Linked DNA regions of Danio rerio. Each later gene encodes a partner of the first gene's protein in a complex. Links are inferred from orthologs where the notes say so. Each region holds a gene or a part of one and is shown on either strand. Other genes may lie near its edges. The genes, in order: bmp7b and nog1.

What was found.
Region 2: the proteins of bmp7b (region 1) and nog1 are in contact, whole or in part, in a crystal structure (PDB 1M4U), measured with the Homo sapiens proteins. The link is inferred for Danio rerio from reciprocal best matches to the Homo sapiens genes BMP7 and NOG. Residues at the interface, in NP_001710.1 of Homo sapiens: Phe365, Pro366, Leu367, Asn368, Ser369, Asn375, Ile378, Val379; in NP_005441.1 of Homo sapiens: His29, Tyr30, Leu31, His32, Ile33, Arg34, Pro35, Ala36.

What each region holds. Positions count from the first base shown.
Region 1 is NC_133198.1:6,477,703-6,493,755, reverse strand, and holds part of bmp7b (bone morphogenetic protein 7b precursor), read left to right. Parts: intron 1-5,639; coding exon 5,640-5,788; intron 5,789-10,414; coding exon 10,415-10,618; intron 10,619-11,400; exon of another isoform or gene 11,401-11,478; intron 11,479-15,969; coding exon 15,970-16,046; intron 16,047-16,053. UniProt on the Homo sapiens protein: Growth factor of the TGF-beta superfamily that plays important role in various biological processes, including embryogenesis, hematopoiesis, neurogenesis and skeletal morphogenesis.
Region 2 is NC_133178.1:7,846,667-7,863,212, forward strand, and holds nog1 (noggin-1 precursor), read right to left. Parts: upstream 8,097-16,546; 5' UTR 7,956-8,096; coding exon 7,305-7,955; 3' UTR 5,954-7,304; downstream 1-5,953. UniProt on the Homo sapiens protein: Inhibitor of bone morphogenetic proteins (BMP) signaling which is required for growth and patterning of the neural tube and somite. Essential for cartilage morphogenesis and joint formation.

The DNA.
Region 1 (16,053 bases):
TCAGGTGTCAGGATCACGAACAGAGAAGATGGAAAAACAAAAACAGAGGAAAAGAACACACAAAAAAAAACCCAACCAAGAAATATAGTAGTTATAGTTGAAGAAAATATCACTTATGAACCTAAAAAAAATACAGCCTAATCAGATCTGTGCTTCAGACGATTCCTGTCCTTGGTCCAAACGCGATTGGGGGTTTGAGTACGGACAGTAGTATATTACAGCAACTAAATCAAGTTTCAACTGCTTGTTTTACTTCTAATTTCTCAAATTTTACAGCTATACACGACGCGGGCCGCGAGCTCGCTTCAGCTGTTCACGTTTCTCTCGTTTCACTCCTCTCTCACGCTGTGATTCTGCCTCTCCCTCAACTCAACGCGCGCAGATGACGTCATTCCGGGAGGCGGAGCTAGTATTTTTTTCACTCGCAGTTAAATAGATGCATTTAATTCTATCTGTATTCTACGATTATATAATGTTTCTTTTTTCTTTTTGATAACATTGTGACTATTACAAAATACAAATAAAATTATTTTACATGTACTCCAGTTATTGTTCTTATTTATTTATTTGGTTAAAGGGCTTGATAAGACTACAGTAACCTGGGTTACACTTGCGCCACATTGGGCCGGGTGTATGATAGGGCCCTATATGTTTACATATCTATGTCAAATGGTACTGCTTATATTATTTCACCATCGGTACACCAATATAGTAAATGTGCGTGTATGTGGATAGGGCTGTGTCGGTGTGGTAATGTGGGCTGGTGTGGCTACAGTGCCAGGGCTGAATTTTTGTCCCATTCCGCCCCTGATAGGACAGTATTTATGCATTGGTTGGAGCAACTGGACATATGCATTTTAGCACATATTAAGCATAAGGATCTCAATTCATGAGGCAGTTCGTGTCTGAGTTGAGCAATGATTTGAAATATGCAATTTATTTGTTGTTAAACATATTCAATATTGCTCCATTCCTATAGCAAGGATTCGTTCTTGTGTGGTATATCTGTCTGGAATCATTGCAAATATGGCCACTGTATACGTAGATTTTCTATGAAAGGATTCTTTATGTATATTGAGGATGAGAGCAAGCGCCTCTGCCTGTCCATCACTTCAATTTAGCTTCATCTAAGTGACAGATAAATTTGCACCAGAAATCATAATGTGTGATCAGACTTTCAGCCTTTGACGTCAGCCTCAAAAGTTTCCCCCTCAAATCAGCTTCAGAAATATGGAAAATGTCTGCAGATTCCATGTGAGGCTGGATATAGCTTGCTATTTTTTATGGTGGGTGTTTTTTGGTTTCCGAGAAAAAAGAATCATTTCCTCTTGAGGGTTGTAATGCTCTCAACCCCTCTGTCTATAAAGGCTGGACACATTTGATTTGTGTTTCCTTTCCTTCTATTTCTTTTTGCCGCACACACAGAGCTCACTCTATCTAATCATCCCAATGCAAACTTTACAGTTGCACCACACCATGTTTCCGATTCCGACTCGGCTGCCCCCTCTCAAAGAATCAGTTGTGCACCACAGGGCTTCCCTTCACCACACGTTTGGGACCTTCTAGAATATCGGCGTGACCCGTGCAGTGAATGGGGTTTAAAAGCGTCCACAGTAGCTCCTCCTACGTGGTGCTCGACCCCTCCTGAAGGCCTCAGCCGCCTCTACAGGTCTGTGGGGAACAACACACCCTATTGTGCTCCCATCACAAAGAGAAAAGACACTAAATTGAGGAATAAATGAAACTGGATTAGACCGAAGCGGCTGATATTGAGCAGAACAGGTGTTTGGATCACACACACTGACCACCTGAACTGCTGCGGCTCTTTGAAACGTGTATCCACTTTCTCTCCCTGCAGCGATTTCCCCTGTCTTCTGTTGTATACTGCCTTTCAGTCCCTTTCTTACGCGCACTTTATGTCTTGCTCCAAATTCCTCTGTTTGATTTAGTGCAGGGCAGCCACACTGCGAGATCAACAGCCGTTTATAAAGTCATTATTGTCAATTAAGGAAATGAAGTGCTCCCCAGGGCCTCACCATCTGGACTGAGTACTCTGTTTCTCACTCTCCCATTCCTCTGTTTATTTCACTTGTTCTCTCTGTTTCACTTTGTTCATCACCTTCTCCATTTTTCACATAATAGTCACAGGCCACTTTATTAGGCACATTTTGCTAATGGAACCTCTTTTATTGCACTCAGAACAGCCTTAATTATGTTGTAATTATGCTTTAGCAGACAGCTAGCTCTCTGCAACTTTCTCATGGTCACCCACTGAAGCTAAGCAGGGTGAGAAAGCTAGGTTGCTGCCGGAAAGCTACATGGGAAAGCTAGGTTGCTGCCGGAAGTGGTGTTAGTAAGGCCAGCAGGAGGCGCTCAACCTGTGGTCTGTGTGGGCCCTAATGCCCCAGTATAGTGATGGGGACTCTATACTGCTCAGTGAGCACCGTCTTTTTCAGATGAGACGTTAAACCGAGGTCCCGACTCTCTTTGGTTGTTAAAAATCCAAGGATGACCTTCGAAAAAGAGTAGGGGTTTAACCCCGGCATCCTGGCCAAATCTGCCCACTGGCCTGTCCAGCATGGCCTCCTAACTCTCCCCATATCATGATTGGCATATCATCACTCTGTCTCCTCTCCACCAATCAGCTGTTGTGTGAAGTGCGGTCTGGCACAAAATGGCTGCCGTTGCGTCATCCAGGTGGATGCTGCACACTAGTGGTGGATGAGGAGATCCCCCCCCCCCCACAAGTTGAGTGCCCAGAAAAGCGCAATATAAATGTAAGGAATTATTATTGTAAACGTTCCTCAGAAATATTTTTTGGCATGCTCAATTGTTCTTTTGCAGTGTGATTGACCAGTAATCTGGTCAGTCATAACCAAGGGCATCGCTAGACCCAATTCACTGGGGCATGTGCCTTCAGCACCTGCTCACATCATCATATGTCGACGTGATCATATGCCGACGCAATTTCTTGCTTCATATGAGAACAGACGATAGTGCCTGGTGTAGTTATTGCAGTTGTGCTATTTTTTGGTATTTATCTTCAGGAAATCACTGACGGCATATATTATGTTATCATAACGATCTAATTGTGGCAATAAGATCATAACTGTACTGTACATTTACACAGTAGCCATATTCATTTATGTTAACACACGAAAACAGCATTAACATTATAGCAGACAGTGTAAAAAGCTCATTACCTGCCACTAGACTTTTCTGACAGGGGATTCGATTGTCATCGAGTGTAGGAATGCTGTGGGACTGCAATACAGGAGTTATGATTAGGGATTCTTGATCGCAAAATTTAACGTTTTTTTTTTTGCATTTTTTTAAAAACACAATGGTAAAACATGAACGCGATTATGAATATAATAAAACATGTGCTTGTTTGTCATAAAAATTCACAATACTGAGAAAAAAATACTCATTTGTGGATCACCTTACTTCCGGGTTCAGCAATACTGCTGTTGTGGCAGGTGTATCCTGGAATATTTTCTTACCCCTTGGTTTCGAGTGAGGTCCTGATTAATCTTCATTCGAAGGGGTATTCACCCCTTCCCCTTAGCCCTACGCCTTAAAGCTAAAGAGAATAGGGATACCTCTACCCCTTAGTTTGAACCAAGCGGCAACCTCCCGCTCTCTCTCAGGAAGCCAATACGGAAGTAACTAAAACTGCAATTCATCCGAAATTCCGCTAGTCTTGTCCGCTCCTGGCTCCAAAACAGAGCAAATTTCAATTGAGCCCACTGTTAGAATGGCCAACTTTACAGCAGAAAAAAAGGTGTTTACAGCCTGGTACAAAAAAAGATTTTGGTTAATACAGCTAATATTACCCTTCATGACAACTGTGAGGGGGTGAATTTTTTTATAACTCATCCGTTTCCTTTATATTAAGTTATATTAAGTTTGCATAATTAAGGGCGTGGTCACTTGAGTGACAGCTAGGTCTCGTTGGTCGCCGTCACGTCACCTCAGCTGAATCCTGCAGATTAGCCACTGAACTCAGCATATTTATCGTATTTCTTTGTTGTTTTATGTGGCTTTACACAGTCAACTGCCTTTTGGACTTGTTTCCTACATTTATTTGATGGAATGGCATGCTGAGTGCACTTAATTGTGCTCACAAACTGTTCACGTGGCCTCCGTTTCCCATGTGAGTAAAGTTATATACTTATATACCATCTCTATACATGTATTTGTTTTATTTAAGATCATTTATCGTTTATATTTATATTTAGAGCTGTAATGCACTCCAGAATCTGTCAGACTGATTAGCTGTAGGCTGTAGAACAGTCATCTGAAGCGTTGTCATACAATGTTATGCTGGATTTCATCAATAGTCTTACATTAACAAACACAGACTATATCTGAAGTGTTTGGAAGTAATTCGTGTTTTCCTCCTGTTGAAAAACATCATAAGAACAATGTTTAGTGGCTCAATGTATTACAGCAGTGTTTATAAAAGACTAAACACTTTATTGATAAAGTATACAACCAAGCACAAGTGGTCAGAATACAAACGAGTCACAAGTGATAAAGTATTAAGCGTTCTCCCAAAGTAAACCAGGTGTCTGAACCAGGTCCAAGCTAAATGCAGCATGCGTCTGTAGCTCCGCTCACTCTCCGCCTCTTTGCCCATGTTTGGTATCCCGCCGTCGGTGTGATGACGCGCGAACAAAATGGCGACGGTTGGCCACGCCTACTTGTGGCTTCTTTTGCGCTCTTTAGAAACCTATGGGTGACGTCACGGATACTACGTCCATATATTTTACAGTCTATGGTTTGAACGCGCAAATTGAGGGGTAGGGGTAAGGGGAAGGGCTAAGGGGTAGAGATCTGCACGGGACTAAATTTTTAATCCCGCTCCTGCCAGGTTTTAGCCCGAACCCGACCACTCCCACTTATATTCAGCATTTGTTGCCCTGCTGCCCGACCCGCCCCATTTTCTACCTGCTGCGCCCGATCCCGCTAAGGAGCGGGGGGAGAACAAAACTGAAAACCACCCAGCTATACAGCTTATAACAAGCTGTCTGTATAAACAAACACACACACACAAGTACCAAGCACACACACACAAGCACCAAGCACACACACACAAAGACAAAGCTCTCTCTCTCATTTGCGCGCGTGTGCACACACTCACACACACACACACACACACACACACACACACACACACACACACACACACAGCAACAAACAAGCTAAACACAGCATTGCGCTGTTTCATTTGGACACATACATAAGTGCTCGCTCGCTCGCTCGCTCGGGAGTAGGGAGCAATATTGCTAGACGGCCCACTCCCGTCCCACATTAAACCCGTTACCGACCGCTCCCCCGCTTTATTCGGAAATTTATTCCCACGTCGCAGAAATCTGGTCGGGTCCAGTGGCAGACCTCTACTAAGGGGTAGAATTGGGATTGGGCCTAAAAAGTGAGTAAATTTTCATTTTTGGGTGAACTATCTCTTTATTTTTCATATAAAATATCATAGAATGTAAAATATGCACAAAAAGTCATTTGACAGGTTATCTCTATCTTTCCTTCATGCTGTAATGACTTGATTTGTGTGATATGTTTGATGTGTTACGCTGGTCTTTTCTTCATCATCATCTCGCTCTCTGTCTGTCGATCAGGGATTCAGATTTGTTCCTGCTGGACTCGCGGGTGATCTGGGCAGCAGAAGAGGGCTGGCTGGTTTTTGACATCACAGTCACCAGTAACCACTGGGTGCTGAACCCGGGCCGTAACCTGGGCCTGCAGCTGGCTCTGGACAGTCTGGACGGTGAGCAAAATGAGCAATGCATTCACAAATTTGCCATTCAGAGAGCACGCAGAGAGCACGCTATGCTTCCACACACATATTTTCATGCACATTTTGGAATTTTGCATAAAAATGCTGACCGGGAATGCCAGGATGTGTGTAAATTTAGAAAAAAATTACAATGAAAACACATTTACTGCAAAAAAGTGTATAGATTCCAGCAGGTGCATCAAAAATGTCATGTGATTTGTAAATGTAGCTTTGGTCATTTTAAAGTGCCTTAGCTGAAGTCCGTCATCAAAGTGGTTCAGTGCACTTTAGTGGGCTTTTGTACTTTCATAATGTGCTTTTCAGTTTAATGTTAAGCATTTACGTTTTTAGATATAACCTTTAAGTGCTTCATAACCTTTGTTTTGTGTTGATTAAAACTGCAATACATATTTTTTAAAGGTGGTTTTCTCAAAATTAGTTATTCCCCATACATCCACATCAAAATCAGAATCAGTTTTATTGCCAAGTGTGCTTCACACACACAAGGAATTTGTTTTGGCTACAGAAGCTTCTAGTGTACATAAAGTGACAAGTGACAACACAAAATAAATATGAAAAAAAAAAATACATAAATAAAAAAGACGATAATCATTAAACAGAGATGCAGTTTGTCAAGAAATCTGAGTGTTGACTTGTATGTACGGATTTGTATGGATAAATATACAGGTTATAAGGTGCCTCCGACCAGAAGGTAAAGGTTCGAACAGGAAGTGTGCTGGGTGCGAGGTGTCCAGAGTGATTTTGTGAGCCCTTTTACTCACTCTGAAGGAGTACAGTTCTTGAAGTGTAGGTAGTGCCAGTGATTCGTTTAGCCGTCCGGACTATTCGCTGTAGTCTACGGAAGTCGGTTTTGGCAGCTGAGCCGAACCAGGCATATACAGTAAGTTACAATAATTAGCCCTCCTGTCAAATTTCTATTCCCCCAATGATGTCTAATCGACAAGAAAATTATGCATTTTGTTATACAGTATAAATGATACTCTATAAATAGTTTTTTCCCCTCTGGGAAAAGACTTATTTCTTTTAATTCGTCTGGAATAAAAGCCGTTATATTTTTTTTTACTATTTTTGAAAACAATTAATTATTACCCATCTAAAATTATATTTATAAATATATACAGTTGAAATCAGAATTTTTAGCCCCCCTTTGATTTTTCTTTTTTAAATGTTTCCTAAATTATGTTTTCACAGTGTTTCATTCATTCATTTTCATGTCGGCTTAGTCCCTTTATTAATCCGGGGTCGCCACACCGGAATGAACCGCCAACTTATCCAGCAAGTTTTTACACAGCGGATGCCCTTCCAGCCACAACCCATCTCTGGGAAACATCCACACACACATTTACACACACACTCATATACTACTGACAATTTAGTTTACCCATTTCACCTGTACCGCATATCTTTGGACTTGTGGGAGAAACCGGAGCACCCGGAAGAAACCCATGCGAACGCAGGGAGATCATGCAAACTCCACACAGAAACGCCAACTGAGCCGAGGCTCGAACCAGCGACCCAGTGACCTTCTTGCTGTGAGGCGACAGCACTACCTACTGCGTCACTGCGTCGCCCTTTTCACAGTGTGTCTGATAATATTTTTTCTTCTAGAGAATTCTTATTTGTTTTATTTTGGCTAGAATAAAAGCAGTTTTAAATTTTTTATGAACCATTTTTAAAGTGAATATTACTAGCCCCTTTAAGCATTTTTTTTCGATAGTTTACTGAACAAACCATCATTATACAATAACTTGCCTAATTACCCTAACCTGCCTAATTAATCTAATTAACCTAGTTGAAACCTTTAAAAGTCACTTTAAGCTGTATAAAAGTCTCTTGAAAAATATGTAGTCAAATATTATTTACTGTCATTATGATGTTATTATGTTTAGAAATGTGATGAAGAAATCTTCTCTCTATTAAACAGAAATTCTGGAAAAAAATAAACAGGGAGGCTAATAATTCAGGGGGCCTAATAGTTCTGACTTCAATTGTATGCAAATTAGCTGGTATTTAATAAAGCAGTGGCTCATTTGCATAATAAACTTAACATTTAAGAAAACATACTACAAAAATAAATTCTATATGTAATCAGTCAACTGCACATGTACATTGAAATCTAGTGATGTTTTCCCTCTATCCACCTGCAGTGTCTTGATTTAGTCTGGAGCTGCACAGAAAACGCTGGAGTTTAGTCTGAGATCAGAGCTTAGTCTGAAGAAGTTCAAAGTGATACAGAGCTGAAGCTCCAGTGTTTTCTCACTCTCATACTTCATTCCAGCCGCAGTGGGAGTGCGTTTTGTAGCGTAGCTCTGTGAGTAAGAAGGTGTGTGTGTGTGTGTGTGTACAGGATGTTACAGGTTTTAAGTGTTAGCATGAAAACAGGTGCAGTGTATTATGGGGCTCGCGTAGATCAGCGAGCCTGTCGAGACATGCTAGCGGGACGCCTGCCCTGCCGCTGTAGGCAACCGGCAACCCAGCTTTACCTCGGCGCGGAGACAGAAAGAGCATTCCTGCCTCTTTTTAAGAAACACACACACACACACACACACATACACACACACACACACACACATACACACACACACACACACACACACACACATACACACATACACACACACACATTAAAGCCGGTGTGTAGGTAAAAGGAGTCCAGAATGGCACAGAAACAGATGTAAGTGCTGGAATTTTCTGAGTAAACAGGGAACTAAAAGCTCTTTTGAGAGTGGGAGAGATTACACAAAATAAACATGAGAAGTTGCATATTCTTGGAGAACACACACACACACATGCTCTTACAAAGTTGTGTTCATTTACAGTTTTTTTTTTTATTGTTTTGCCACAAATTTCAGAAACCTGATATCAATTGTCAAAACTCTAGAAACACAATTCTAAATGCTCACTACTTTTAACAGAGACTCTCCAGTGTTCAAAACTCTGCATGCTGCATTCATTTCCTTCAAGAAGTCTTGCATTTGAAAGATCATTAATAATAATAATTAATTCATTTTCTTGTCAACTTAGTCCCTTTATTAATCCAGGGTCGCCACACTGGAATGAACCGCCAACTTATCTAGCAAGTTTTTATGTTCGCCTCACAGCAAGAAAGTCACTGGGTCGCTGGTTCGAACCTCGGCTCAGTTGGCGTTTCTGTGTGGAGTTTGTATGTTCTCCCTGCCTTCGCGTGGGTTTCCTCCGGGTGCTCTGGTTTCCCCCACAGTCCAAAGACATGCGGTACAGGTGAATTGGGTAGGCTAAATTGTCGATAGTGTATTAGTGTGTGTGTGTGTGAATGTGTGTGTGGATGTTTCCCAGAGATGGGTTGCGGCTGGAAGGGCATCTGCTGCGTAAAAACTTTGCTGGATAAGTTGGCGGTTCATTCCGCTGTGGCGGCCCCGGATTAATAAAGGGACTAAGCTGACAAGAAAATAAGTGAATGAATGAATGTTTTTCAGCCTTCATAAAGCGCATAAACACAGCTGTTCTTTCAATAAAATCCATGTTAGGCATTTAACAAGAAAGCTACAGTCACTGAGCTGAAAGAATCCCTGCCCATGACGCGAATCTGCGTTTATTGCTCAGTGAATTTGACGCACGAGTGAATCGGATTTGAAGTGCGAATTTGAAGTGCAAATAAAGTGGATTTGACGTGCGAATGCAGCGGATTTGATGTGCGAATGAAGCGGATTTGACGTGTGAATAGCGCAATTTATCTGCATGTTTCCCGTCTAGTGTAAGCACAGCATAAATCGCATGGTGCAAAAACATTAGGAGTGTGTCCAAATCTACTTTTGCTACTTTAAGGACAGAAAAATACAATTCTGCTTATTATTTTATTGAGTTATATGTGTTTTGAGCATAACGTACATTAAACCAATCAAAGTCTCAACTCCCATTCCCTTTAAGAGTCAGTTACATAGCTGTAAGGTCGCATTTACTATTTACATGATGTACTTTGTAAGTGGAAAAACTTAACGCTTCACTAGCGAGAAACAGTTAAACAGAGCATCTGCAGCACAAGGATTAAGAATGATCCTCCTCCATTTGGCCTCTTTACTTTCTATTTATTTTACTTTTTATTTTACTTTCGTGGATATGTTCTTCCCTCTTTTAAAAAGAGCATAATCCCTTTTTTAATTTAAAGTGACAATCACAAAAATGGCACACATGGTCTGAAAAAGAGTTGTAAAACATTAGTTGTGGGATGTTTCGAGCTAAAATTTCACATACGCACTCTAGGGACATCAGAGATTTAAGATCTTGTAAAAAGAAGTATAATAGTTCCCCTTTAACAAAAATTATTTGATGTAAAGTTGCAATTACAAATTCATGATAGAAGTCAATATATTCTGCTGCAGAAATTGCTCACCCACAGTAATATCCGATTCAAACTCACACTAAAAATGTTTGTCACCCATTATCCAGATGAAAAAGATCTTGTATAACTTTACAGTAGTACTTTCCCTCATGGATTTGTACCTGTCAACATTTCCACTAACAATCTCAAGATGTATTTCTCTCCTCTATTATCTCAGCATCATAAATGATTGTTGTGAAATGATGAACTGTGAAATCTCTCTCTGTCTCCCCCTGCAGGTCAGAGTGTGAACCCCTGGGTGGCGGGACTGGTGGGGCGCAGTGGCCCTCAGAGCAAACAGCCCTTCATGGTGGCCTTCTTCAAAGCCACGGAGGTCCACATCCGCAGCATCCGCTCCGCTCAGGGCGGAAACAAGCAGCGCAATCCCAACCGCTCCAAAACCGCCAAGGGCCAGGAGGCGCTGCGTGTAGCCAATATTGCAGGTGTGTGTGGCTGACGTGTATTGAAGGAGGCAGGTGAAGAAAGACATATAGTAAGACCAAACTGAGAGAAAGGCACTTAGTATAGTTCTGTGCCACCCCGAAAATAAAAAAATATATATGGAAAAACCATTATTTATAATATATGCTAAAGGAAAAGAAGTGTACTGAAGTATGACACTAGTTATTATGCAAACTTGTAGTGTACTGCAAATTCACAATATATTTTTATACACACTGTATACTATTTTTAATGCTCTTACTTAAAAAAAAATACTGTTTCAAAACAAGTATATACACTGTACAAATAATTCGTAATTTTACATTTGTAATGTAAAATAATAACCGGTAAATTACAAACATTAAATACCATATAATACTATAACCATAAAATAACAGATGTTAAATTACAGAAATTTACCAGAAGTTTACATTTAAAGAAATTTCTGCAATTTTACGTTCGTTAGTTTTTGGAAAATTTCTGTAATTTAATGTTTGTTATTTTATGGTAAATTTCTGTAATTTAATGTTGGTTTTTATGGTAAATTTCTGTAATTTAACAACCGTTATTCAATGGCAATTTCTTTAATTTAACATTTTTTATTTTATGGTAAATTTCTGTAAATTAATGTTCGTAATTTTTTGGCAAATTTCTGTAATTTAATGTTCGTTATTTTATGGTAAATGTCTGTAATTTAATGGTCGTTATTTTTTGGCAAATTTCTGTCATTTAACATTCGTTATTTTATGGCTAATTTCTGTAATTTAACGTTCGTTATTTTATGGTAAATTACTGTAATTTAACTGTCGTAATTTTTTGGCAAATTTCTGTAATTTAATGTTCGTTATTTTATGGTAAATTTCTGTAATTTAATGGTCGTTATTTTTTAGCAAATTTCTGTAATTTAACGTTCGTTATTTTATGGTAAATTACTGTAATTTAACGGTTGTTATTTTACAGTTAATGACTAAAATTTATACATTTGTTATTTTATAGCAAATTTCTGTAATTTAACGTTCGTTAATTTATGGGCAATTTCTGTAATTTAACATTCATTTTTTATGGCAAAATTCTGTAATTTAACGTTCGTTATTTTATAGCAAATTTCTGTAATTTAACGTTCGTTATTTTACAACAAATTTCTGTTATTTAACGGTCGTTATTTCTTGACAAATTTCTGTAATTTACCGTTAATTATTTTTTGGCAAATTTCTGTAATTTAACGTTCATTATTTTTTGGCAAATTTCTGTAAGTTAATGGTCGTTATTTTACATTAAATTTATGTAATTTACCACTCAATATTTTATAGCAAATTTCTGTAATTTAACATTTGTCATTTTATGGCAAATTTCTGTAATTTAATGGTCGTTATTTTTTTTTTTTTACAAATTTCTGTAATTTACCGTTAATTATTTTTTGGCAAATTTCTGTAATTTAACGTTCGTTATTTTTTGGCAAATTTCTGTAAGTTAATGGTCGTTATTTTACATTAAATTTATGTAATTTAGCACTCATTATTTTATAGCAAATTTCTGTAATTTAACATTTGTCATTTTATGGCAAATTTCTGTAATTTAATGGTCGTTATTTTATTTTTTTTACAAATTTCTTTAATTTACCGTTCGTTATTTTTTGGATATAAATGCGTTCGTAAGCTTTTTCTTTTCTCGTGGCTTGGGCCACTATCAGCTGTTCCTACACACGTACAGCAGTCAATTTTTAAAATAGTTCAGCTTTTGCCACTGTGTGGTTTAATTCTGAATGTGTGTCTGGGTAAAGAGTAGAGTAATATGTTGGTGTTTAACAGCATTGCTTTAATGTACTCCTGCATTTGACTCACACATACACTCTGCACTCTGACTACTTCAAAATTGTTTATAAGCTGTAGTGGGCATTTCTCTCTGTCTCCACTGAACGCAGTCGACCAACCCCAACAGACTGGGTCATCGGACCAATCAGTGCAGATTAGCTTTTTCTGTACATCATTGTTTATTAGTTCTATATATATTTTTTTCTCATATATGCAAGTAAATGTCTGTGTATGGTTATATGTCACCCTCTATCTATGCCAAATTAATGATGATAGTTGACTTTGTTTGTTAAATTATTTGAGTGTTATTGAGATATTTAAATGAGTCATGTGACCGTAGTACTCAAGAGAGACTCTAGACCAGTGGTCACCAACCCTGTTCCTGGAGAGCTACCTTGCTGTAGAATTCAGCTCCAACCCTGATCAAACACACCTGAGCTATTTAATTAGGCCCTAAAGCGCACTTGATAATTACAGACAGGTGTGTTTGATTAGGGTTGCAATTTAAATCTGCTGGAAGGTAGCTCTCCAGGAGTAGGGGTTGGTAACCCCTGCTTTAGACGCAGACGATGACTGTTACCCTAATAGAGCCAGATCCTTGCCTAAACGCTTAGGTTTTTAAAGATTTAGCCATGCGAATAAAGGCTTTTTAAATTTTCCAAATTTTTTTCGAGTGCCTTGGACTGATTCCTGTTGTTGAATAAATTACAATATTTGAGTAATTAATTAAATTAATTAAAACCACATTATTTCATATACCAGAAACAAACATATAACATTAAACTGAATTCATTAGTTTTTTTTTTTTTGTGTGCCACCCCAAGATTTGGTGTGGCCTAAGAATATTTTATGGGGGCGCCACTCTGGAGGAAGGGAGAAACTGCAGGATTTGAATGCTGTCCTTTAAATTTGAATTTTGTTTTTGTTTTGGAGCTCTCAAGCTTTATTTCAAGACTAACATATTGATACTAACATCTAAAATAATGATTGATTTTACAGGGACTTTAAAGAAAAAATTGCTTTGCAGGTTTGCCTCAACATGCCCTTAAATGAAAACAATTTAATTCAATTTCAAGCTGAACTGTTCCTTAAAGGCAAAAGAGAACTGGAGATAAAATGTGTGCGTTTCTGTGTCTGTTCATGTGGTTCCTATTAGTGTGTAATTCTCTGCAGGTCATTTTGCACAGTAATAACATTACAGTGTTAAATGGCTATTAAATGAATTTGGGTCAGTGTACTGCATAGGTATATGAGGGTTTCAAGGAATCTGGACAACTTCGGTGACCTAGTCCTCATATTTCTCAGTCTTCCTCACAGTTTAGTGTTGGCTTTAGCACTTTTTCACACATTATAAGTAAGGTATACACTCACCGGCCACTTTATTAGGTACACCTTACTAGTATTGGGTTGGACCCTCTTTTGCCCTCAGAACTGCCTTAATCCTTCGTGGCATAGATTCAACAAGATACTGGAAAATATGGATTTTGGTCCATATTGATATGATAGCATCACGCAGTTGCTGCAGATTTGTCAGCTGCACATCCATGTCATGTCTCACCGCATCCCAAAGGTGCTCTATTGGATTGAGATCTTGTGACTGTGGAGGCCATTTGAGTACAGTGAACTCATTGACATGTTTAAGAAACCAGTCTGAGATGACTCAAGCTTATGGCAGGTTTTCCTGCTGGAAGTAGCCATCAGAAGATGGGTACACTGTGGTCATAAAGAGATGGACGTGGTGAGCAACAATACTCAGGTAGGCTGCGGTGTTGACAAGATTCTCAATTGGTACTAATGGGCCCAAAGTGTGCCAAGAAAATACCCCCCCCCCATTACACCACCACCACGACCACCACTAGCTTGAACCATTGATACAAGACAGGATGGATTCATACTTTCATGTTTCATGTTTTTTCTGCTGCTGTAGCCCATCCGCTACAAGGTTTGACATGTTGTGTGTTCAAAGATGCTCTTCTGCATACCTCTGTTATAACGAGTGGTCATCTGAGTTACTGTTGCCTTTCTATCTGCTCAAACCAGTCTGGCCATTCTATTACTCTTCTGCTACAATCTGAGCTATTGTAAGGCTTTTTATGCCCTTTTCATTATCAGTGTTAAGCTTTGGCACAATCTACATGATAAAAATAAAGATTAATAGAATTTTATTGATTAATTTGCACCCGTGTGGGACAGATGAATCAATAATATGTAGCTCCACAGGAGATCAACCATTTATTTTAAATGCATACATCTACTAAACTTTTATTTTGGCAAAGTTCTAGTGTAGAACTTGTGGTAACACTTTATTTTGATGGTCCATTTGAGTATTAGCAGACTGTCTGCTTAATATCTGTTGATACTCCTCCTAAACTGACATTTAACTGACTATAAGAAACTTTGCAAGTTCATGTCAACTTACACTAACCCTAACCCCAACAGTCTACTTCAAATCGAATGAGAATTAATTGGAATGTAGATGCACTGTAACCTAAATTCAACAAACAGACCATCAAAATAAAGTGAGACCGAACTTGTGTTTTTATTTTAAATATAAACAGTGCTCAGCATACGTACATAGTACACCCCTCACATATCTGTCTTTTAAATTCATATTTTTACAGGAAGCTTTACAATATTATTTGACATTAGATTTGAGATTAGTCAGTTCTGAAGCCAAATCTGGAGCTTTTTTAACAAAAATAACTAATGATAACGGTCCAAAAACTAGTACACCCAAATTTATGTTATAAATAAATATTAAATACAAATTTTTAAAAAAGGAAAAATCAAGAGAAGCAAAAAATAAACAAATAAATAAATAAATAAGTAGTTGAAATTGTGTTATTTATTTTTGCAATACTTTCCTTGATTTTAATTGTATTATCTTTCAGTTTCTAAATATGTTTGGTGACCAAAATATTAATTTACTGAATATATCTGTTTAATACATCTGTTTGTTTAAATGCACCAAAATACATTGCCTCTGTTCACTGAGCAATGGATACAAATATATATTCATTCATTCATTCCTTTTCTTTTCGGCTTAGTCCATTTATTAATCTGGGATCGCCACAGCGGAATGAACCGCCAACTTATCCAGCAAATGTTTTACGCAGCAGATGCCCTTCCAGCTGCAACCCATCTCTGGGAAACATCCATACACACTCATTCACACTCATACACTACAGCCAATTTAGCCTACCTAATTCACCTGTACCGGATGTCTTTGGACTGTGGGGAAAACCCACACGAACGCAGGAAGAACATGCAAACTCCACACAGAAATGCCAACTGACCCAACCGAAGCTCGAACCAGTGACCTTCATACTGTGAGGCGACAGCACTACCTACTGCGCTGCCAGATACGAATATTCATTTTCAAAATGGGGTACACTTATTTATAGCTGAGCACTGTGTATATATTTGTTTGGAGACTGACTATATTGGCAAATAGTTTACTCTTCTGCAGGTTTGCACTTCATCTCCAGCGATGACCATTTCTATTGAGGTTTCTTAAATTCTGTATCTCTATTTGTTTTCAGAAAACAGCAGTGCTGACCAGAAGCAGGCCTGTAAGAAACATGAGCTGTATGTCAGTTTTCGAGACCTTGGATGGCAGGTATGAT
Region 2 (16,546 bases), on another chromosome or scaffold:
AAGATTCTGAAATGATTCTTTCTTGTACACTCAAAAAAAAAAGACTTTTGCTGTTCAAACTTCTTACTTTAAATGAGTTGAAACAACACAATTATACATTTTTGGAACAGCTTAATCATTTTATGCTCAATCCACTGAAATCTGTAAAAATAATAATAATAAGTTAACTTGTTCACTGTGTTGAACAACATAAAGGATTTCTGTTGAATGCAGACTTTTTAACAGTGATCTCACATTAGTTCTTAGAACCTTTTTTTCCACAGACTAGGTCTGTGAATCAATTACTTTTGTTGCTTGTTCAAACTACTTAAAAATAGTTAAAAACAACACAATTCTTAATTTTTTTGCGACAATTTAATTGTTTTATGTTCAAATTTGTGAAAACAAGTATGCTAATCAATTTGTGTTAGGACAACATAAAAGGATTTATGCGGAACGCAGACCTTTTTTTTTGTTTTACTGTGTAGTGCTGTCACATTAGTTCTTTGAGAACCTTTTTCCATTTTTGTGGAATGGAAATGTTCCATTGATGTCAAAGATTCTTTGTGGACCTTTAATAACCTTTCCTTTTTAAAGTCATTAAACAACAGTGGTTTGTTCAGAAGCCAATCAGGAAAAAAAAAAATCAATAAGTCAAAAACAAAGTGTTAAATCGAAGTCAAAACTCAAGAAGACATAAAAGATATGCAGGTCATTTACCACAGCTTGATCAGTAAATCAACATGCAAATGTGTCCCTTTATTTCTGAAAATAAAAATTTTGAAACTATTTTTTTTTTTGTACAATCAAATAAAGGACTTTTGCTGTTCAAACCACTGACATTAAATGAGTTGAAACACAATTATACATTTTTGTAACAGCTTAATTGCTTTATGCTCAATCCACTGAAATCTGTAAAAAAAACAAAAATAAAAAAAAACATTAAGTGAACTTAATAACTTGGTGTTGGGACAACATGAAGGATTTCTGTTGAAGGCAGGCTTTTTAACAGTGATCTCACATTAGTTCTTAGAACCCTTTTTCCACAGATTGGTCTGTGAATAAACGACTTTTGTTGCTTGTTAAAACTTTGCATGTTGATTTACAGATCAATCTGTGGTAAATGACCTGCATGTCTTTTATGTCTTCTTGAGTTTTGATTTCGATTTAACACTTTGTTTGGGTCTTGTTGATTTTTTTTTTTCCTGATTGGCTTCTGAACAAACCACTGTTGTTTAATGACTTTAAAAAGGAAAGGTTATTAAAGGTCCACTAAGAATCTTTGACATCAATGGAACATTTGCATTCCACAAAAAAGGAAAAGGGTTCCCACTGAACTAATGTGACAGCACTACACTGTCATTTTACTGAGCATTTTTTGTTAAAACTAGTCAATTTCAATGAGCATTTTATGCTCAATCCACTGAAATCTGTAAAAAATAAAAATAAAATAAAAACATTAAGTGAACTTAATAACTTGGTGTTGGGACATCATGAAGGATTTCTGTTAAATGCAGGCTTTTTAACAGTGATCTCACATTAGTTCTTAGAACCCTTTTTCCACAGATTGGTCTGTGAATAAACGACTTTGGTTTCTTGTTCAAACTAGTTACTTTAAACTTGTTGAACGACGACTCTTGTGACAATTTCATTGTTTAATGTTCGAATTTGTGAAAACAAGTAGGCTTATCAATTTGTGCTGGTTTTTTTTACAGTGTAGTGCTGTCACATTAGTTCTTCGAGAACCTTTTTCACCCTCTTTGTGGAATGGAAATGTTCCATTGATGTCAATGGTTCTTTATGGACCCTCCGATGCCAATAAAGACGCTTTCTTTCAGTCTGCAATCACCAATACCCTTTGGCCGGGACACATCCATTTAAACGAAGCCCTGTGTGATTAGTTTGCCCAAGCGGCCGTAACAGCGTCCTAATCAGTGCAGTGTTTGGATAAAGCGCTCTTCTGCAGGGGTAAACAGAGCTGTATTTGATGCTCTTTATGAGGGCTGTTTGGCAGGGTTTATTCCTCTGTTAGACTGGCTCCATGCTCTCGGAGGGAGGCCGGCCCTCCTGCGGGGCTGCAAATGGGCGGGTGGCAGTGCAAAGAGATGCTCTCCAGCTGCTGCCTGGGCTTTATCTGCCTATAGGACGTTACAGTAGACGTTAACAGGTCCTCAATGACCATCATCATGCATCTCCACCCCACAATAAAAAAGCTGGTGATAAAGAGCTATTTTCACCGCTTATCAGATAAGCGGCGGTTTTTACAGACTGCAAACTAACGCGCTCATTAGCGTGACCCGTCAGCTCTGTTAACACCCGTGATGATGATGTGAGAAAGTTTTGCCCCATGTTATGTGTGTTTGTCCAGCGTGCCGTAACCTTTAACCCAGATAGCGCCTCCAGAAATGGTTTAACGAGATGAAACGAGCAAATTAACACATGCAGGTTCTCCGGCCGATGAATGTCACGAATTGTTTGAATTAATTGATGCGTAAAATGTGGCTAATCTGCTTTTGGAGAGGCCGTCTGCTGAAACGCACAACGCATAATCTCCGCTAACACGTCGTAATAACTTTCATTAAGGAGTCATTAGGATTTATCAAACAATGCTAGCTGGCTGATCAGGAGTTTGAATGAATATATACACTACAAAAAAAGAGAAATAAGATTAAAGAGTGTGTTTTACAAGAAAACCCTTTCAAAAAATGCTTGTTGTTTCACTGATTGTGAAATCTACTAGCAACTGTTTGCACTTAAATATTTGAAGAGGATTTTTTAAAAATAAATACACGCATTAAATACAACATTTTTTCCAGCAACTGCATTTTATTGAACTTTTAATTATTAGAATGTGCTAATTAAAACAACATTTATTCACAATGTACAAAATAAAGTCGCTTCCATTTTAAATAATCAGAATAAATATTGCTTTAATTAATGCAAAAATAAAATCTAATCATTTAAACTAGTGAATAGTAACAGTTTTTAATCGAACAATGCTTGGTGACTGATCAGATGTTTGAATCACAATGTACACTAGAAAGAAAAAGTGATTCAGAGAAAACAAAACCAAAGGTTGTGTTTGACAAGAAAACCCTCTTCAATACAATTGTATGTTTATGTAATTGTCATTTCATCGTAACTGGTTGTGAAACTTACTAACAATTGTTTTCAATCCATTTTTTTCTTCTTACAATATTTATTTTAAAATAACACATGAATAAACGCATGCATTAAATACAAAACTTTTCCCTCAAGTGCTCTTTATTTAACTATTATGATCAGAATGCATTAATTTAAACAATATTTATTTTGATTGTGATAAATAAAATCTATTTACAATGCTTGGTGACTGATCAGATGTTTGAATGACATTATACACTAGACATCAGAGTTTCAAAATGAAAGAGTGTGTTTTACAAGAAAACCCTACATGTGTGTGTGTGTGTATATATATGTATATATATATATATATATATATATATATATATATATATATATATATATATATATATATATATATATACACACACACACACATACACACACACACACACACACACACACACACACACACACACACACACACACACACACACACACACACACACACACACACAGAGAGAGATACATAGCGAAAAATTGTGTGTTAAATGAATTGCCATTTCATTGTAACTGATTTTGAAATATACTAGCAATTGTTTGCACTCTTGTTTTTTCTTCTTAAAATATTTATTTTAAATAACAAATATATAAAATACAACATTGTTTTCCATCAATTGCATTTCGTTGAACTATTAATATCAGAATCAGTTCCGTATTAGTCAGAAACAATATTCATTTATTCATTTTCCTTTGGCTTAGTCCCTGATTTTTCAGGGGTCAACACAGCGGAATGAACCACCAACTTATCAAGAATACGTTTTACACATGTATGTCCTTCCAGCTGCAACCGAGTACTGGGAAACACCCATACACACTCATTCACACACATACACTACACACAATTTAGTTCATCAATTCACCTATAGCGCATGTGTTTGGACTGAGGGGGAAACCAAAGCACCCGGAGGAAGCCAACGGCAACACGGGGAGAACATGCAAACTCCACACAGAAATGCCAACTGAGCCAGCCGGGATTTGAACCAGTGATCTTCTTGCTGTGAGGCAACATAGCTAACCACTGAGCCACCGTGTTGCCTACATTCAATTATCAGAATATTGTTTTAATTAACACGTTCTAAAAATAAAATAAAGTGAAATAGTTAATAGCAAAAATAAAAAACAATATTCATTCTGATTACTCTGAACAGGGCCCTATCAGCAGGTCAGTTGCTGGAGGTCCCCAGATCCAGGTATAAACAATGGGGCGATCGTTCTTTTGCAGTGGCAGGTCAAAAACTGTGTCACTGTTTAAGGTTAAACTTAAAAGCTATTTATTTAGACTTCCTTTTGATATTCGTTAGTACAAAATGCTGTTTTATTGTTTTATTGACACATTATTCTGCATGTAATAAATACTGTATATCTATTACATTAGAATAATTAGATTAAATATTGTTTTAATGCATTCTAAAACTTAAATAAAATCATTTCAAATAGCTAATAGCAAGACAACAATATCTATTCTGATTATTCTGAATTTAATACATATATTGCATTTGGAATAACCAGAATAAATATTGTTTTAATTAATGAAATCCAAAAAGATATAATAATTTGAAATGGTTAATTGTAAAAAAAAAAAAAAAAAAAAAACGATTTATTCAGATTATTCTGAATTCAATACATGCTATATATTTATTACATTCAGAATAATCAGAATAAATTGTTTTAATTAATGTGTTCTAAAAATAAAAGAAAATCATTTGAAATAGTTAGTAATAGTTCAATTAACTGCGATTATTATTTCAAATTATTTGATTTTATTTTTTAAAAACATTAAAACATTACATAATAGCATTATTATCTTATTAAAATATTTTATTTTATTATTATTTCTAATTATTTGATTTTATTTTTTAACATTATTACATTACATAATATCATTATTATCCTATTAAAATATTTTATTTAATTATTATTTCAAATTATTTCATTAAATTTTTTAAATACATTATTACATTAAATAATTACATTATTATCTTATTAAAATATTTTATTTTATTATTATTTTAAATTATTTCATTTTATTTTTTATACATTATTACATTACATTATTACATTACTATCTTATTTAAGTATTTTATTTTATTTCATTTATTTTTTAAATACACTATTACATATTGTCTTATTAAAATATTTTATTTAATTATTTTTTCAAATTATTTCATTAAATTTTTTAAATACATTATTACATTAAATAATTACATTATTATTTTATTAAAATATTTTATTTTATTATTATTTTAAATTATTTCGTTTTATTTTTTATACATTATTACATTACATTATTACATTATTATCTTATTAAAATATTTTATTTTATTATTATTTCATTTATTTTTTAAATACATTATTACATTACATAATTATTATCTTATTAAAATATTTTATTTTATTTCAAGTAAATGCATCAATGTTAACCAGTATATATAAGAGATAAGACAACTGCAATAAGACAATTGCATAAAAAGTATTGTGGTCGGACTGATTATAAAATCCATTAATTTTATTAGTACTATAACATGCAAAAAATACGCTTACATTAACCAAACTGAATCTATCTTCAATTCACACACATAAACCTCACATTTAGGCCTAAATATAGTTTGATTACTGTGATCTGCATTATTATGTGATGTAATAAAAAGGCTCCACACGGGCCACTGTGAGCATCAGCATTGGTTGCCTTGGTTACGGGGGCCCTTAAGCCAGGTGAGAGCATGTCATGGTAAATTAGGAGACCCTCTTTGAAGTTTCTTTCATGAGAAGAAACAAAGGCAGAGGAAACAAAAAAAGCTCAAACCATTCGTTGTGTTTGATATTTTATTATCTGAATATAAAGAATAAATAACAGTTCATCTTAATTTACAGGATAAATCGTCTCCGGCCGTCACAGCATGTGAGACTTTAAAAAAAAATTAAAAATCCACAATAAATTTTGAGGTCGTCGAATCTGTGTGGGAAAAAAAACCTTATAGACATCTCAGACAGCTCCATTCTCTGCAATATAAATACAACCCAATATTTTCCACAATTACAGTAGACTCTGGATATTACTACACATAATACTGGCTAGATCATTACATGATGGCACGACATATACAGACAATACATTCCTACACATGATAGTGCATACACAAACGAAAGGGAACACTTGCATGACAGATATTAATATAAAACACAACGCTGAGTCATCAGTTATCAAATCTGAATGTGTGAGCTATTGATCTGCACAGCATTGTGTTTAGATGAACATTGCCTTATTATTTACTCTCCCTCATGTGGTCTTATGTTGAACACCAAAAGAAGATATTTTGAAGAATGCTGCTGGCACTTCGATAAAAAAAAAATAGTATGGAAGTCAATAGGAGCCGATCACCAGCATTCTTCGAATTATCTTCTTTTGGGTTTAACAGATAAAACTCCAACGGGTTTTTAGCAAGTAAACAATGACAGAATTTAAATATGTCTGAAAATAATGTTTAAATGATCTAAAATTAATATAAAGTGTTTCCAAAACACAAAATAAAAGCTTTTCTTAACAAATCCAGAGATTTGTATAAATAATGTTCTCTTTTTTTATAAAGTTCTTCCAGAAATGTGAATTTTAAATATGAGATATATTTTGTACAGTCGTGTCTCCATAATTTAAGTCCAGCAACATGCATTAATGTGCTTCACATCAGAGTCCAGAACCATATCAGGAGCTCTATTATGGGTTTTCTGAATGAGCGGCCAGTTCACCCATTTACTTCCATTGTAAAAAATAAATACTATGGAAGTGAATGGGTGCCAGCTATCAACATTTCTCAAATTATCTTCTTTTGTGCTCAACAGAAGAAACTCAAACCTGTTTAAAACAACAAAATTAAAATCTTTAATCTCTTTAAATGACTTAAAGTTAATATAAAGTGTTTCCAAAACACAAAATAAAAGTGTTCATAACTTAAATCCAGAGATTTGTTTTATAAAAGATGTTCATGTCTGAATTCTCTTCTTTAGAAAGTTCTTCCAGCAATGTGGATTTTACAAATATGAGATACATTTTGTACAGTCATGTCTCCATAATTTAAGTCCAGCGATATGCATTAATACGCTTCACATCAGAGTCCAGAAACGCATCAGGAGTTCAATATTATAATGTTTTTTATTTCTGCTGGTCAGTTCGCGCATGAGCATTTGCACTCTGTGATGATGGGATACTGCACCGGTATCCACGCGCACTTGAGTGCGCCTCTCCTCGCCACGCATCTCCAGCGCAGCAGCGTGATGTGTGTTGATTTGGCCGGTTTGCACACCATGCCCTCCGGCACCGAGCATGAGCGCTTGGTGTAGCAGCTCCCCGCGCGCACGAACCGCGGCCAAAAGCGCGAGCCCAGGTCATTCCAGGCGTACAGCACCGGGCAGAACGAGTAGGACCACAGCCACATCTGCAGCCGCCGCTTCAGCTTCTTGCTGGCTTTGCGCTTTTTGCCCCACGGCGCGTCAAAGTCCAGGTTCTTGATGTCTTTGGGCATCATCCCGGCGAGGTTCAGCTGGAGCTCCTGCTCGTCCAGGTCCTCGTTCCCCGCGTAGCGGTCCTGAGGAGGACCGACCGACAGAAAGCGGCTGTCAAAGTCCCCGAGCGCGCTCCTCAGCTCGGTCTCGTTTAGATCCTTCTCCCGCGGATCGTAGAGCGGGTCCGGGTCCTCCTTCAGCTCCAGCAGGGGTAAAGTGTCACTCGGGATGGGTCTGAGCAGGTAATAGTGCTGGCACTGTGCGAAGGAGAGCAGCAGCAAGTACGCGGACAGCAAACACCGCGGGAAATCCATCCTTTTGAAATCTTCATCCAAAAGCGAGATCGGAGATTAAACGCGGGATTTATCCGTGCGTAATTCCGTGCATATCTGATGTCGAGGTGTGGTAAATGCGTGGGAATCGTGAGAAAGCATCACGATTGAAGGAGCCCCGCGTCTGAGTGTTTTTTGGGAATGCCTGACTCTCACGCGCGCGCCTCTGATTTATACACGCGCGCCCCTGTGATGCAATACACTTCTCTCGCTTTTTCTTTTTTCTCAATGTGAGTTTGTTTGCAGGAGATTCCCCGACACTTCCTTTCAGACTCAGATGAGCAGGAGGAGGAGGCGTGGCTGCAGGCGCTCGGCGTTTGACGCCCCCTGTCGGACAGTTTTCTAACTGATGTCCAGAGGCGATGTTTTTTTGTGGTGTCTTTAAATTTTCACAACTTAAATCCAGAGATGTGTGTTTAATAAAAGTTTATGAAAAAAAGTGTCAGAAATCACTTTTTTATTAAAATCTTGAGAAATGTGAGTTTAAAAAAAAAATTGACACCAACTTTAGGTTTGTATAGCACCTTCCCAAATAGGGTTACATTACCCAATGCACTGGGTTAAATCATTTATCCCAATGCATTGGGTCATTTTGATTAAATGTTATTTTCTCCATTCTGGGATTACTATTACTATTCCTACTATGAATTCCTAATTATGGCATTAAATAAATGAATGTCTCCGCTGGGTCCTAAAGGTTAGAATCCGGGAGCGCAGAGATGAACACGGGAGGTGGAGAAAGGGATTTAGTATTGATCGGCTTTAAAGCTCTCAGTATCAATAATTAAAAACACGACATGGAGAGGTCATTTAATAAAAGATATAACAATATCATTGTATTAAAGCCTTAATAAACTTTAGAAAGCAAAAACAACATTATAAATGCATATTATTACAGCTGTTCTGTGTCAGTCAAATCAGTTGACTGTTGAAACCCAAAACTGTAACCCAACTGGTTGAGTTGTTATATAAATAACCTAATAAAGGTTAAAAATAACCCAACAAAGCACCAACCAATTTGTTTAACTCAACAATTGGGTTAAACAAATAACTCAAGGTTTTTTAGAGTGTACAGTCATGTCTCCGTAAGTCCAGTGATATGCATTAATAAGCAATGGGTGCCAATGGGAGTCAATGGGTGCCAGCTACATTGTAAAAGACGCAGGGTTTATGCTGGAAACACATTTTTGGGTTAATTGTGCAGGGTCAAAACTGCTAAGTTGTCTCGGGTATAGGGCTGTGCAATTAATCGGAAAACCGATTTCGATTTAAATTTTGGCTTCTAACAATTATGAAAAACCATTAATCGGTATAAGCGATTATTGCATCATATACTGGCCCCTTCTGTTGCTCTTAAAAGCGCAAAAGACCGCATGATTCTGAGTGTGTGTGCGGCACACACACACAGTCAGAAGCATGTGGTTAGCATTCCGTCTTATTCGCACACTGAGCTGTGCCGAGCGCACACACCTTAAGTCATCTTAATGTGAGCGTTTAATGGTCAAATAGGTGTCAAAACGTGGAGTTTAGTAATTATTCATATTAACCCTCATTTGAGTAATAAACAAAGAGTTGAAAATCAAAAGACACGTGAAAGAGAAACCATTAAAGTGACCGTGCGCAATATCCCTGATGCCACCTGTTTTTATGATTATTAATCAAACAAAAGGAGAAGCTAAACTGTTTGGCTTAAAAGTGTTTTTCTTACAGTGAAGATGCTTAAAGCTCAGTTTATTTCATATTTTTATACTATTGTATTTATTTCGCATTCCTTTGCAGGGTGGAAAAGAAATATATATATAAATATATATATATAGTTGCAGATGCAGACAATCAAAAAATATATAAGGGGGCTAATATTATTGACCTTAAAATGGGTTTCAAAATATTTAAACCTGCTTTTATTCTAGCCAAAATAAAACAAATAAGCCTTTCTCCAGAAGAAAAAAAATATTAAAGGAAATACTGTTAAAATTAAAAAAAAAAAAAAATCTCAGGAGCGTTAATATTTTGACTTAAAAATAATAATCGTTTTGAATAATCGTGATTACAATTATGACCAAAATTATCGTGATTATGATTTTTCCCAAAATCGAGCAGCCCTACTCGGGTACTGGTTGCCCAAGCTTAGTCAACCCAACTGAAAGGACAGTAAAGGCTTCTCTCACCTTTGAACATCTGGGTTTGGTTATTTTGACCCAACTTCTTTATTAATTGTTCATTTTTCTATCTGGATTCATCACAATTTCAGATGGAGCTTGCGGCAAGCATTACAAGGTAAATAAAATGACATATACAGTGGTCTCTCACTATAAGGTTCACCTTTTGGGCCACACAGTTTAGCAGATTTTATTTACTGCAGTTTGACTTGGTTTTGTTTTTTGTTTTGCTTTGTTTTTTACAGTGCATTGAGTTCTGCGTCCTGATTGGCTGTAGACCACTGTCAATCAATCTATTCCATGTCTCCTAATCAGTACACAATGCATTCAGCTTGCTAAATTAACATAAATCTTTATTCGCTAGCAATGTAACTTTCAACAAGGATGCAAAAAGGGTTGTAACGCCCCATTCACATGGGGCGTCAGCGTCAACGCTTCCTATTCACATTGAATGGGTGATGTCAGGTGTTGCCGAACTGCATTGTGGATCCGTCGGCACCGCTTCAGAGACGTTGCTCGCTGCAGAAGTTGGGACTAGCTTAACTTATCAAGCGCCGATGGAAGTGTCAACCAATCAGATCGCTGTATGCAAATACACCAGCTAGACAGTGGCCTATTGCTGACTGAATTTCATTGGCTGACGCTGTTATGACGATCGCTTCAGCCCCAACTTCAGACACACCTTCAGTCAAGCGTTGACGCTGAAGCCCCATGTAAATGGTGCGTATCTGTCCTCAGCAAGACCATTGTAAAGGAGACTATCGTTATTTGCATTTTCCAAACCGTCACAACGTTTTCTGGTATAGGGGTGTGTTAATATGTTCTACAATGCTGCACTGAACTCAACAACAAGTTCAATGTATCCAGTTTAATTTGCAACCGTGTTTCCTTCAATCAATCTGTCCATCATTCCTCCCATCCTCATGATATGAGTTCAGACATCTGAACATCTCTGAATAAACCCAGTATACAGTAGATGAGCCCACATTATCTCTGTCTGCTTGGCACTTGGAGAAGCACAAACACACAAGTGTGCTGCTGAGGCTGTGGGGAATAAAGCCATAAAACACTCCGTCTAGAGTCATCCAAAATGAACATCTCCCACCAAGCCGGCGCGGCGGAATGCAGCTCGAGACTGACAAACACAGAGGAGCTGCATGGAAGAAGTGAGCTGTGCATAAAGCAGACGCGCAGAGAAATACATCTCTGTTTCTGTGTGAATGAGCTAATTCACACTTCTGCTGGAGAGACGGAGAGAGCGAGAGAGAGACACAGAGAGAGAGAGAGAGAGAGAGAGCTGAATCAGACAGCAGAAGCAGACACTATTGTCAGCACTCACAAAACACTGAACACACCTGTGCACTGCACCCTGCTTCATTAGAAAACACTTAATAATAACTATTCAGACTCACAAGACCTGTAATTAATTTATTACAATCAACAACTCAATCAATAATTCATAACAATAATAAAAATGAACAATTAATCCATCCGTCTATCCATCCATCTGTCTGTCCACCTATATCCATCCTTCTGTCTATCGATATTTCTATCCGTCTGTTCATTTATCCATCCATCCATTCATTCATCCATCCATGCAACTGTCTGTCAATCCAGCTATCCTTCTGTCTATTGATATCCAACCGTCCTTCTGTCCATCTATATATTTCCATGGGTCTGTTCATCCATCTATCCATCTATCTGTCTGTCTGTCTGTCTGTCTGTCTGTCCGTCCGTCCGTCCGTCCGTCCGTCCGTCCGTCCGTCCGTCCGTCCGTCCGTCCGTCCGTCTGTCTGTCAATCCTGCTAACTATCTGTTTGTCCATTCATCCTTCTCTTCATCTTTTCTATTTATCCATCCATCCATCTAGCTGGTTTATCCATCCATCAATAAATTCAACTGTCTGCCCATCCATCCATCCATCCATCCATCCATCCATCTATATACATCCAGTCGTCTGTCAATCTATATATCCATCCCATGTATCTTTTCAATCCATCCATCCATCCATCCATCATCAATATTAATTTATCCATATTTTCTATCTATCCATCCATCTCCTTCCATCTATCCATAATTTCTATCAATCCATCCATATTTTCTATTCATTCATCCTTCCATCTGTTCATCTATTTATCCATCCATCCATTTCTCTATATATCTATCTAAGCCATCAATCCATATATCCATATTTCTATTTATCTATCTATATTCCAACTTTCCATTTTTCCATCCATCCATCTATCTATCTGTTTATTTATCTATCCATCCATCTGTCCATCTAAATATCCATCCATCCATCCATCCATCCATCCATCAATCCATATTTTCTATCCATCCATTTATCCATCAATCCACCTTTCTATCCATCTGTTCATCTATTTATCATCCATCCATTTCTCTATATGTCAACCTTTTCAAGCCATCAATCAATCCATCCATATTTCTATTTATCGATCGATATTCCAACTTTCCATTTTTCCATCCATCCATCTATCCATCCATTCGTTTATATACCTATTAATCCATCTGTCCATCTATATATCCATCCATACATCTTTCCTACTCCATCCATCCATCCATCTTTCTATCCGTCTGTTACTCTATTTATCCATCCATCCATCCATTTCTCTATCTATCATCTATCCATCTTTTCGAGCCATAAATCCATCCATTCATATTTCTATTTATCTATCTATATTTCATCCATCCATCCATCCATCTATCCAATTATCTATCCATCAGGTCAAAATATACATCCATCTGGTCAATCCATCCATTCATCTATCCAGTATATCTATCTATCCATCCATCAATTTGTATGATCTATCCATCCATCTGTCTGGTCTATCCATCCATCCCTCCATTCCACACAGGACTCACTCACCTGCTCGAAAAACCCAAAAAGAGTTTGTGGAGTGTGGAAAGATCAGCATTTGTCTTTGGTTAACCTCACTGTCTGTCACATAAACTGACTTGATTCTCTCCAGGAGTTTAATCACAGTCAAAATACATAAATGCTGATGCATCCACCCGTCATATTCAGAGATATCGGAGTGTTTTCATTTCAACTCCTGCTAATGCTTTTGTCATCCACTGCTGCTCTCGGCTCATGGTGGGTTTTGTCATGTCATGAAACACACCAGAACCCTTCAGTTACAGAAACTTTATACACAGCTACTAGAACACACACACACACACACACACACACACACACACACACACACACACACACACACACACACACACACACACACACACACACACACACACACACACACACACACACACACACACTTATAGAGAACAAAAGGAGGAAAGAAATCTTCAGAAAATCTTACACAATGGAATTAAACACTGAATGCATCTAAAACACACACAATTAGAGCATAGAGTGTAAGAATAACAGTTTCAAATGAAGAAAACTACAAAAGTTAAAGTTAAAACTAATATAAATAATTATAATAAAGTTTGTGTGGGCCAAAATTCTAATTTAAATAAATAAATCATATTAATATTTAGAAAAAAAAAAAACTTCTAGCAATCCTATAGAACTACAATTTTTGTTACATAACCGTAATAATAACTGTAAATTGACTTTCCCAGAATTCCCTGCATGGCACATCACTTTTTATGCACTTGGTTGACATTAATATGGATCTTTTTAGTTGTTTTCCCATCAGTTATGTACATTAGAGATTTATGTTACATCTAATGTTGATAAACAATGTTTATTTCATGACTTTAATTTTATGCATGTTACCATACTGGTGTTTAGTAGCTGTGTGAATGACACTGAGCACCTTCTATATGCTGATACTCTTTTCTGCTTGTGGGAAAAGTTGATTGTGATGAGCATTGGCTCATTTGGTAACTTCATCACCACCTTCTTCATGTGGGTGTGCTAACGTGTCTAACTGTGAAACAAAAGATGTGTAAATGTTGATCATTCAAAATACAGACATATTACCTCTATAAATTAATAAAATACGGTAATTTACCGTAAAAATGAAAAATTACTTTTAAGGTTTGTTCTGTGTTTTTAACGGTAAAGTACTGGCAACCACAGCTGCCATTTTTTACCATAAATTTTACGGAATTATTTTTTACAGTATATATATATATATATATATATATATATATATATATATATATATATATATATATATATATATATATATATATATATATATATATATATAATACATTTCTAGAAGACTGATCTTGTGTAAAAAATAAAAATAAAAAACAATTTCCACCAATGCCGTCGAATAATTGTTTAAAATAAACAAAAAAATCATATTCTATAGAATAAACTTTTTTCACTGATGAAATTAAAGAAAGCAAAAACAGCTTTTAAAATATGTATCTCTTTGTATTAATAACATTTGAATGGCCTCAGATTCCCAAATAAATATTAAAATGTTTAGTTAAAGTAGGAACTGCTTTTCCATAGTATAAATCCAATTTGAATCGCCAAACAATGCTGAACAACATGTATTTTATCAATTATATTTCAATATTTAAGAAAATACCAATCCCAGCAATTCTAAAAAAATGACACTTGTAAATATAACAAACACACTTTACATTACACTTATGAAACTTACACTAATACAGTAACAAAAGTGAGTACACCCCTCCTACTTCTGCAAATATTTATTTATAACTTTTCATAGGACAACACTGCAGAAATGACTCTTTGACACAATGAAAAGTAGTCAGTGTAAAGTGTGTATAGCAGTGTAAATGTATTGTCCTCTCAAAATAACTACAAATACAGCCAATAATAACTGAACCATTGGCAACAAAAGTGAGAACACCCCTAAGTGAAAATGTCAAAATTGAGTACAATTAGTCATTTTTCTTCCCCTGTTTCATGTAATTCATAAGTGTTACACTGTCTCGGGTATTCACAGATAGCAGGTGAGTTAAATTTAGTATAAAAGCTCTTCCACTCTCTCAACCAGGCCACTGAAAGTTCAACATGGCACCTCATGGCAAACAAATCACATTAAGCCAATTATATATAAAAAAAAGAAAACTAACAGAAAAGCGCAGACGAGTGGGATAATGGCATCTGCTGGTTCAGAAGCATGATTATAAGCAGAAGCATAGGAAATAAATGACATCAGTACATAATAACCTGTTATGACTATTAGTAGGGGTGTGACGATTTATCGTTGTACGATTTATTGCGATGCAAAAATGTCTCAATATGCAGCGTGGCGTTATGACGATTTGATTACGATATGACGTCCGTTTTCTCTTATTAGTTGAGCTGTTTGCACGTGAGCTACATTCCACCTGCTGTCGCACGTGAGTTCAGATTGCAGCAGCAGTAATGTTAGCAGACCAAGATGAGTGGAGCTGAAATGGAGGATGGCCCATCCTCTCAAAATCAGACGTCTGGCAACATTTCGGTTGAACAGTCATTGCTTTAGACTCGTCCGCTTTTTGACACGCATACTGGGTCAAACATCCTAAGTTTTAAAGTCTTCACAGTGAATAACATACTTTGCACAGCGACAGGGATACCTCCTAATGGTGTTGAAAGAGTCACATACTGTATTTATAAGGTACAATTCACCCTAAAATATCATTCTGTCTTCATATAATGTTCCCGCCGCAAAATCACACATGACGTGAGCTGACCGTGAGCTGTTACTACAGAGGGCGGACTTTGATAGACGCGCGCGTATGGCAAGCCGTTTTAGCATTTAAACCTTTGTTCTGACTATCCATAAATATATTTAGAGATATCTCTAATTATATTTTGACAAGTCATAATTATAATTCGACTAGTCAGAAAGAAAATTAGAGATATCTGCAATTACAATTCTATCGAAATCAGTACGAAATCAGATTCTAGATATCTGCAAATATATTATGACTAGTCATATTCCTCCATTGACTTCCATTGAAAAATATTTGCAGATATCTCTAAATGAGTTTTGACTAGTCACAATTGTAATTAGAGATATCTCTAAATGAATTTAATTAAATAAGAATTAAATACCTGGAAATGTGGATTTTTTTTTTTTTTTTTGCACACACAAAAAACGCAAGTGACCAAGCAAAGCCTTAAGCTCTTACTGTTAAATTCAATTGAATAGAAAGCTTTTTTTTTTTGAACCTTTACTTAAATTGTTTCTTAAATTTGTCTCTGTCATTTCAATAATATTTTTAAGAAGTTTTTAAATTGTTTTATTTTCCAGAGACAGGCCTGTTTAATTTATTTTCTTAAAGAAGGTTCAGTTTAACAAGTTGAAACAAAAGAAATACATAAAAAATAGTTTACTTGGTAAAATTTGCATTTCAGTTTAATTTTCAATTTTTATTCCAATTATCGTGATACACATCAAATCGTGAACATTATATCGTGATACACATCATATCGTGAGCTGAGTGTAT